Linked DNA regions of Daphnia pulex. The protein of the gene in region 2 purifies or fractionates together with the protein of the main gene of each other region. This does not show direct contact. Links are inferred from orthologs where the notes say so. Each region holds a gene or a part of one and is shown on either strand. Other genes may lie near its edges. The genes, in order: protein timeless homolog and TIMELESS-interacting protein-like.

The links.
Region 1: the proteins of TIMELESS-interacting protein-like (region 2) and protein timeless homolog purify together in Homo sapiens (affinity purification with western blotting; 6 studies listed by BioGRID and IntAct, counting the BioPlex papers as one, with this or other methods). This does not show direct contact. The link is inferred for Daphnia pulex from reciprocal best matches to the Homo sapiens genes TIPIN and TIMELESS.

Annotation. Positions count from the first base shown.
Region 1 is NC_060024.1:12,856,690-12,861,173, reverse strand, and holds the end of protein timeless homolog, read right to left. Parts: intron 4,465-4,484; coding exon 4,402-4,464; intron 4,342-4,401; coding exon 4,269-4,341; intron 4,189-4,268; coding exon 3,978-4,188; intron 3,864-3,977; coding exon 3,721-3,863; intron 3,627-3,720; coding exon 3,541-3,626; intron 2,425-3,540; coding exon 2,209-2,424; intron 2,127-2,208; coding exon 1,731-2,126; intron 1,629-1,730; coding exon 1,438-1,628; intron 1,334-1,437; coding exon 938-1,333; 3' UTR 748-937; downstream 1-747. UniProt on the Homo sapiens protein: Plays an important role in the control of DNA replication, maintenance of replication fork stability, maintenance of genome stability throughout normal DNA replication, DNA repair and in the regulation of the circadian clock.
Region 2 is NC_060019.1:12,256,504-12,259,701, forward strand, and holds TIMELESS-interacting protein-like, read right to left. Parts: upstream 1,741-3,198; 5' UTR 1,656-1,740; coding exon 1,541-1,655; intron 1,477-1,540; coding exon 1,404-1,476; intron 1,330-1,403; coding exon 1,131-1,329; intron 1,062-1,130; coding exon 660-1,061; 3' UTR 596-659; downstream 1-595.

The DNA.
Region 1 (4,484 bases), on a different chromosome or scaffold from region 2:
CCCCTCTCTCTCTCCTGGGCGGAAGTATTTAATTCAGAAAGCAAGTCGTCACCAACCTAAAACCACTGGAAAAAAGGGGAGGAGTAAAAAAAAAGTCACATGTACAATAATAATAATAATGAACAAAAAAGAAGAAGAGTGATATGATGACGTTGACTTGTAAACGATCAGAAAGAAAATGTGAATAGCGAATGAATAGCTGTTGGAGAGTAGTACCTAATCCGGAAGCCCTTCCGCCGGCCAATGAATTTCCTGACAAGAGATGGTCTTCAAAAAAAAAATAGTCAAAAAATTATGTTAGCGCTGCCAAGTTGCTGAAGAATTCTATTCCCACACTATTTGTCAATGCTCTGTTTTTCTTATACAGGATTATTCTGAGAAAAATTCCCAAAGGCAATCTATCAACGAGCAGAAAAAAAATATTTCTTTTTAAAAAATTTTACAGCGAAGAAGATTTGAAATTCAAAAGTTTCAGCAACGTTTTTTGATTGACCGCAAAAGTCCGGTGGCTCCTATATATACAGGGCAAAGATGTTAACGAGGCGCAGGCGTGACGTGTACACATTTTCAAGCCCTGCCCCTATGTAATGAGATGAAGAATAACACAAACCACACACACATCTCTCCTCCTCGAAATTAAAAAGTGGGGGGTGGGGGTGGTGGACTAAGTGAAACGGATGCCGTTCCCACGTCAACAGTAGGGTCCAAAAGTTGACAGGAACCCAACTGCTGTCGCAGCCGCTAAGACTTGATTAAGCCCGTGTATTTGGCAAAGAGACGATAAACAAACTTATTTCAATACGTTCCAAGTGGAGAATTGAAAAAATAAAAAAAGTTGCAAAAAAGCGGAGACAAACAAAGCCATTGATTGTTTCCGCTGCAACTTTTCTTTTGTAATTCCTCATGTGCGTATTTTTTCGAAAGAATCGAAATCATTTCATTCGGATTCGCTACTATCGACGATGGCGAACCGTTTGCGACTTGTTGTTGACGCAGCTGTCGACGGAGTTTCGGCATCAACAACAGCCTCGACCTTTTGTTGTTCAACATCTTGCAGTTTCTCCGGTGGCGGTTCTTCGCTTTCGCTGTTTGAAGATTCCGAATTGATGATGCGGCGACGCTTTTGAGAGCCCAAAGGGATTGGATCGTCAGCCACTCGTTTCGCGCTGCTGCTGCTCCTGCTGCTGTTGGTGTTGGCAATCGTTTCGACCGGTCCGGCCAAATCGTCCATGGCATCTCCGTCGCTTACGGAATCGGTCGCCCCTTTTAGAAAATCGATCCTGGAACGTAGATCAGCCGAAGTCAATGTGGAAGGGATGCGCCAGAATTGCTCCTAGAAAATGACACGGAAAATAAGAAAAACGGATGACGGAGTTTCCTTCCAAAACTGTTGGGGGCGTTGAAACGATTATATGTTTAGAAATCAAAGAGACGAACTTGTTCGCTGGCGGGTGGAGCCAATCCCAATTTGGCGATAAATTTCAAAAAGGTGTGGTCCTCCATGGCGTCGTTGGAAATGTCCGTGAGCGGGACTATAGGGATGGCCTCCTCATCGCCTTCTCCATCTTCACGATCCTCGAGGGTTTCACTCAGACACTCGACCAACCAGGCTAAGCCTTCTTTACGGCCTGCGTAGAGTTATCGAAACCAGTTAAGTGTCTGCGCCTGTAAAGTATGGGCGCCAAATGGCGGCGGCCAAATGGGGAAAAAAACAGAAAACAAAAACTCACCGTCGCTGACAAGTTGCCGGAGTGGCGCTGCTAACATTTCGGGACTAAAATAATCGCTTTTCTTCAAGGCGAATCCGTACTGTTTGGGTCGATGTCGAGTCTTGAGCTCCTTCGTCTTGCTGACAGGCTCGTTGTCGCTTTCCCCTTCGTCGGACTCTTCACTTTCGTCCGACTCGGAATCCCCCAGTCCGGCAGCAGGTCCTTCCCTGGGCTCGGCTCGGCCGTCTTCGGAATCCGATTCATCGCGGTTCGATTCCTTGCTTCCGGCTGATTTACCTGGACGTTTCTTTCGTAACTCTTTGACGTCTTCCACCAGGCCCAGCTCGACGATTTTTTCGCGGACGCGATTCTTGGCACGACGGACGGGCAGCCGGTCGATAATCATTCCAAGCGGATCTGTCACAATCGGAAAAAACAAAAAAGTTGAGCGCCTGAAGCTCTCGGCTAGAAGATGGGAAATTATCAAAAATGAATAGACCTGATGATTCGCGGACTTCAGGGAAAATGCGTCTGAGCTCCTCCACTTCGTGTTCGGTCCATTCTTTGGACGGGCGGATTTTGGAGGATCGTTTCGTCTTAGCCAAGCTTTTGGCGTCCATAATGAGACCCATTTCTTTCATTTTCTTGATGATGACTCGTCGACTGCGGGTCTGATTGATCAGATTGGCCATGATTCGATCCACGACGTCTCCTTCTATTAAATTTAATTGAAGTAAATGAAACCAAACGACAAGACTACAACCTCAATAAAGGCTAAAAGGCTAACGCATGCGACTCGTACGCAATAAGGTGAGCGCAACGGAAACCATTCAAATGTGAATTGAAAATTTCATCACACGACCCGACCTACACCGCAGGTCCGTTGCAACGTGAAAATTCCATCCAGTGTCGTAATCCCTTCGTCACAGCCATAAGTAATCCTTTCCTTAAAATCGATTCCTTCATCGGCGCTACCCAGCTAATATACTGCTGCCCCTATTTGGAATCCCGAGAAACGGACATTCTCGTGAAACGGAACGTGGAAAATGTATACGCGTTAACACGGAGGAATGCGAGGAACGGGATCGAAGAATTGAATCCTGTCACGATTAAGTACGTCAAGAAGAAAAAAAGAGATGTTGGGGGATAGACTGCTGACGGAACATGTTTTCTGAAAAAAAAACTGAAGGATCGCAGAGGGGGTAAGAAAAATGGGAGGAGCGACGTAGTTTTGTAAAAATAAAAAATTCCCATGCGGAATGTGTACGAGCGCAACTATTTCATCTGGTTGGTCGTCGGCGGCGTGTCACGGACATGGCGTTTCACGTTTTCAACACATTCGTTAGATTTTATATTCTTCCCTTGCACTTACGTGCTCCTGCCTATTCTTCTTTTGCTCTTATCTCTCGTCGTGTTGTTTTCTCCCATGTACGTCTGTCAAGAGTTGGCTAATTTTGGATGCTTCCGGAAGGACCCTCCCCCTCTCTCTTTTCTCTGACATCTCACAGCAAAAAATATATCTCTCACGACACACTTTTTGGGTTGTTCACGGACTGTTTTTGGTTCACGCCCTTTGAACACTTTGGTCCCGGGGCGACAAACATTTCCCACGTGAAATAAAAGAAGAAAACTATAAGAGAGAGGGGGGTTGTTCTCTCCATTCTTTTTTAAAATAAAAAAAACCGCCGGCTGAAAAGGCGGGAACGGAAGAGATTTTTGTTTAAGTTTTTCAAGAGTTATTTCCCATTCGGACATCACAAGACGGATTCGATGTCAAAATAACCGGGAAGCACGACAAGAAAAGGAAAAGAAAAAAGCGCTCGTTATTTACCCCCTTCTTGGACGTCTCTGAATTCTTGATGGAGCCGCTGCAATTCATCTTCTTCCTCTTCGCTCCAGCCGAAACGCGAGCTGGGGCTTTGATCAAGAACAGGACAGATTATTTTAATTTTAAATTCGACGAATAATTAAGATGACAAATGAATAATGAGTATTTCGTGTCGCTTCTTACTCTTGGACATTGCCGTAACCAACTTCGATCTCGGCCGCCTCGCGGGCCGTCTTCCAGAACAGCAGTTCCACAAAGATTTTCGGGTTGACTTGTGCCGTTTCCGCAAATTTTCTCATGATGTAAATAGCAAACTTGTACAATTCCTAATTGCACAATAAGAAGAAAAGTTGAAAAAAAAAAGTTATGTAAAGAAACAGGACGAAAGAAAAAATTAAATGTAGTAAATCGGAATAGAATGATAATAAACCGATAATCACTTTGACAGTAGTTTCAGTTTTGGCCCGCGGATCGTCCATGATTTTATGGAATGTCTTGAAAATGGACAGCTGAAAAAGCATAGCAGGCATTTTGCAATCGTAGGCGATCCGGTGGAGAATTTTGATCACGCAGTGGTTCGTCAAAGTTGTGTTGGTGGAGTAACTTCGCAAGAGATGGCAGTAACTTTTGACGACGTTTTTGTGAGCAAATCTATTCCCAGATGGCACAAAGAAATGAATCCGATTATTTTTACATTCAAAAAGAGAAAAAAAAAGGACAATAAATTTTACCTGCGAATAAACTCTTCAAATTGAAGTTCTTTTTCACTCCTTCTGACTGTCGACATCTCCTCTTCTTCTTCCGCTGTAGTAAAAATAATAAAGTTTATTGAATACCAAACAGTACAATAAGTTGAACAAGTACCCGTTTCTTTGTTGTCAGCATCTTCTTCTTCGCTTTCGGCATTGGGCTCCTCCCCTGCAACATCTACTCAGGAAAAGGACGGC
Region 2 (3,198 bases):
GTTTCCCTTCCTGTATCCGGTTTTTTTTATTGAAACATAACGTCAGAACGTCAGATCAGATATCGATATTATTTGCGACGGTTTCAATAAAACGTAGCGGCAAAAAAGGACAGGGCGGGGTATCGATAAATTTTGGGGGGATAAAGACGGAAAAGTGTTTTTGAAGCGATTTTGAAAGGGAAAATAGCGATCGGCAGCCAGCAGCCTAGTTGGAACTTGGAAGAGTAGGTCGATAACCAAAGAACTGAAAAAAGGAAAGAAGGTCTATAGGGTCCAAAGCTCGGCTGTATCTCTCATGTTTTATTTACATTTTTTCTTTGTTTCCCTATTTTCAATAAAATGGAAAATTCTATCAAGAAATATTTCTTATTTAGTTTTTACGGAATTACTACTCATTTAAAACAATTATTTCACTTTGACGTTAATCCCTATTTTGGCCTAGAGTGATTGTACTAACTATACAAGAATCGATTCCCCTCTTCGTGAGAAATTTCGTTGCTTACGTTTTTATAAGATTAGACGAATCTTGTTGCTCTAGGGATCTTGGTAAATTATTTAATAATTCACTTATGAAGAAACTGAACATTCAACAAAGTTTTCCACAAACTTCACATTTTTATTTCAAAGTACAATTGAGAAGAGAAAGTGGGATCAAACTGCTAAGGCAAATTTTCAAGAAACATGTCAATATCCAAAATTTCAGAGTTGTTTTCATTAGTTTCAGCTGTAGTTTCAGATATCACAGTATCCACTGTAGCATTTAACTCTGGCAATATTTTAGAGGTAAAGCTCTCATTTGAACAAGTATCATTTAAATTGGAAGTATTAAGCATCAATCTTGATTTCCGTTTTTCTTCAGCTTTTCTTTTGTTTTCAGCCATTCTACTCTGTTGATCTTCAGATATATGAGTCAGAGACTGCGAAGGTCGCGACATCACAGTACTAAACACATCTGTTCCTCTTTCAGTAATGTTGTCAAATTGTGCATCTGTGTTTTCCAAAGTTTCCTCGATTTCTTGTTCAGTATCTAACATTCCCATTCGAAATCGTTTCATATAGACCTATCATACATGTCATAACATCAATTAATGTAGGTTCAACCAAATACAGACAAATTAGATTAATAATACCTGCACAGATTTGTTATTCCCAAGTTTTGCAACACTTTCAATGCAATCATCAAATGGTAGTTTAGGAAACAATCGATGAGCCCAGTGTTCCATTTGAGAGAGAACCGTTTCAAGATCTGATTTCTCATGACCTTTCCCTTGCAATTTTACATTTTTAAAATTCTGTATGACAGCTGTGATTCCTCTTGGACCACATACTCTGTTATTCCAATAAAAATGTTGATTGTAATATAAAAAGTAATAAAATAAAGTGAATTAATAAAGGTGTAATACCTGTTTGGATCAAGCTTTAACTGCTGACTCCTTACTAATTTACGTGTTTTGGTTGTTTCTGACTTTTTGTCCCCTATAATGAAAATAATGTAGGCTTTAGATTGGAACTTATTTTTCATAAGACTAATTACACTTACGTTTTCCTTTATCAGCATCTACTTCCCCATTCTTTGAGTTTGAATCATTTTCTTCGGCACTGTATGAGGTTTTTTCGTATTCTCCAAATATATCATCAACTTCTTGATCACTCATGTTAAATTCAAATTGTTATTCGTTTGGGCCGGGAGTGGAGTGGAGTGGATAAAGTTTGGGGTTGAGAGAATGCGGGATGGATGTAGTAAACTGCGGGGTTGTGTGCGGTTTCTGATGAAATCGATTTATTATTAATCGATCCGATCGTGGCATGACGCAAACCCAAATTCTCGCGGGAAACGAAATAAACCATTTTGAAATTTCAATTCTTTTGAAACTTGATTCTTGAAAAAAAGACGCTTGATTTCTTAAAAATACAGCTATTTTGACAGCTATTCATTTAAAAATTCAAAATGCGTTTGAGTTTTAATTAAATGGACGAGATATGAAGCTTTTCGTCAAAGACCCATTTGTAACGAATTCAAAGCCATCTTCCTATCGTTGCTGGATGCGTTTACTGTTGTGGCCCCCCTTCCTATCCGCTTTGCTTTATTGAAACATAACGTCAGATCACTTATCGATATTATATTTGCGGCGGTTTCAATAAAACGTAGTGACAAAAAACTCTGTTCCAAAAAGATCCTCGCCGCCAACAGGGAGCTTCTCTGCTGCACGGGAAAGTAAGCCGATGTGGTTTGGGTGAGTCTGGGTGAGGATGTTGAGACGTCTGGAGTGGGTAATCTCACGGAAAAGATGGGCCCAGAGAAGTGACAGCGTCTTTAATGCTTTGGTGTCCTTGTCGCTTCTCTTACTTTTCCTCTCAAGGAGAAAAAGAAGAGGTTTGGCCATGTCCAGGACGACGTCCGTCTGTTTCCGGTACACTTTTTCCAGCTGATCAATGTTGGGCATCGATGCATTGGAATTCTTTGTAGATTTAAGGGCCGCGTAAAAAGTCTCGTCCAATTTTGGGTTCGTGAACAGCTCAGAGGCACTGATACTAGCCTTTTTGTCACGTTTGACGTCAGGCCTGTACGCCTCTCTAGCCGCCTTAAGGTTCTTCTCACCTATGCCCTTCACAATCCAATTGGCGAGGACCGACGACTTACGTTTGCTAACTTCAAACCTTTTCGACTTTAATTTAATAATGTCTGAAAAGGTGCTTGAAAAAGATTTAGATGATGATGCGGAACTCGAAGATGAGTCAGAGTCGGAACTTGAACTCGAACTCGACTTACGAGAACGCTTTGACTTACTATGCTTAGCCATGCTTGCTATGCTAGAGCAAAAAAAGATCTGAATAGTTTAAGCGCGTTTGGAACCTCATAGGCTTCACCCACACCCTCCTTTTTCTTTCTTTAGTATGGCACTGTTGCCATACTTCAAGTCAAGCTTGCTACAAATATGCTGAATATAAATGGTCACACACAGTTCTGTCGAACGAATTTTACTAAATAATCCTGTTCGTTACGCAAGTTTGGGTTTTGCCATTCCCTACAATTTGCTTATTAAATTTACATATGTGTATCGTGGGTTAGTTCAAATAACAAGCAAATGACAAGTAAATAATTCATTTGAATTCTGATGTGCCCATTGACAAAGAATGATTTTGGGAAGATAAATATTGTTTGCTGTTTTTAATATTCAAAACACATTTTGTTTGGAT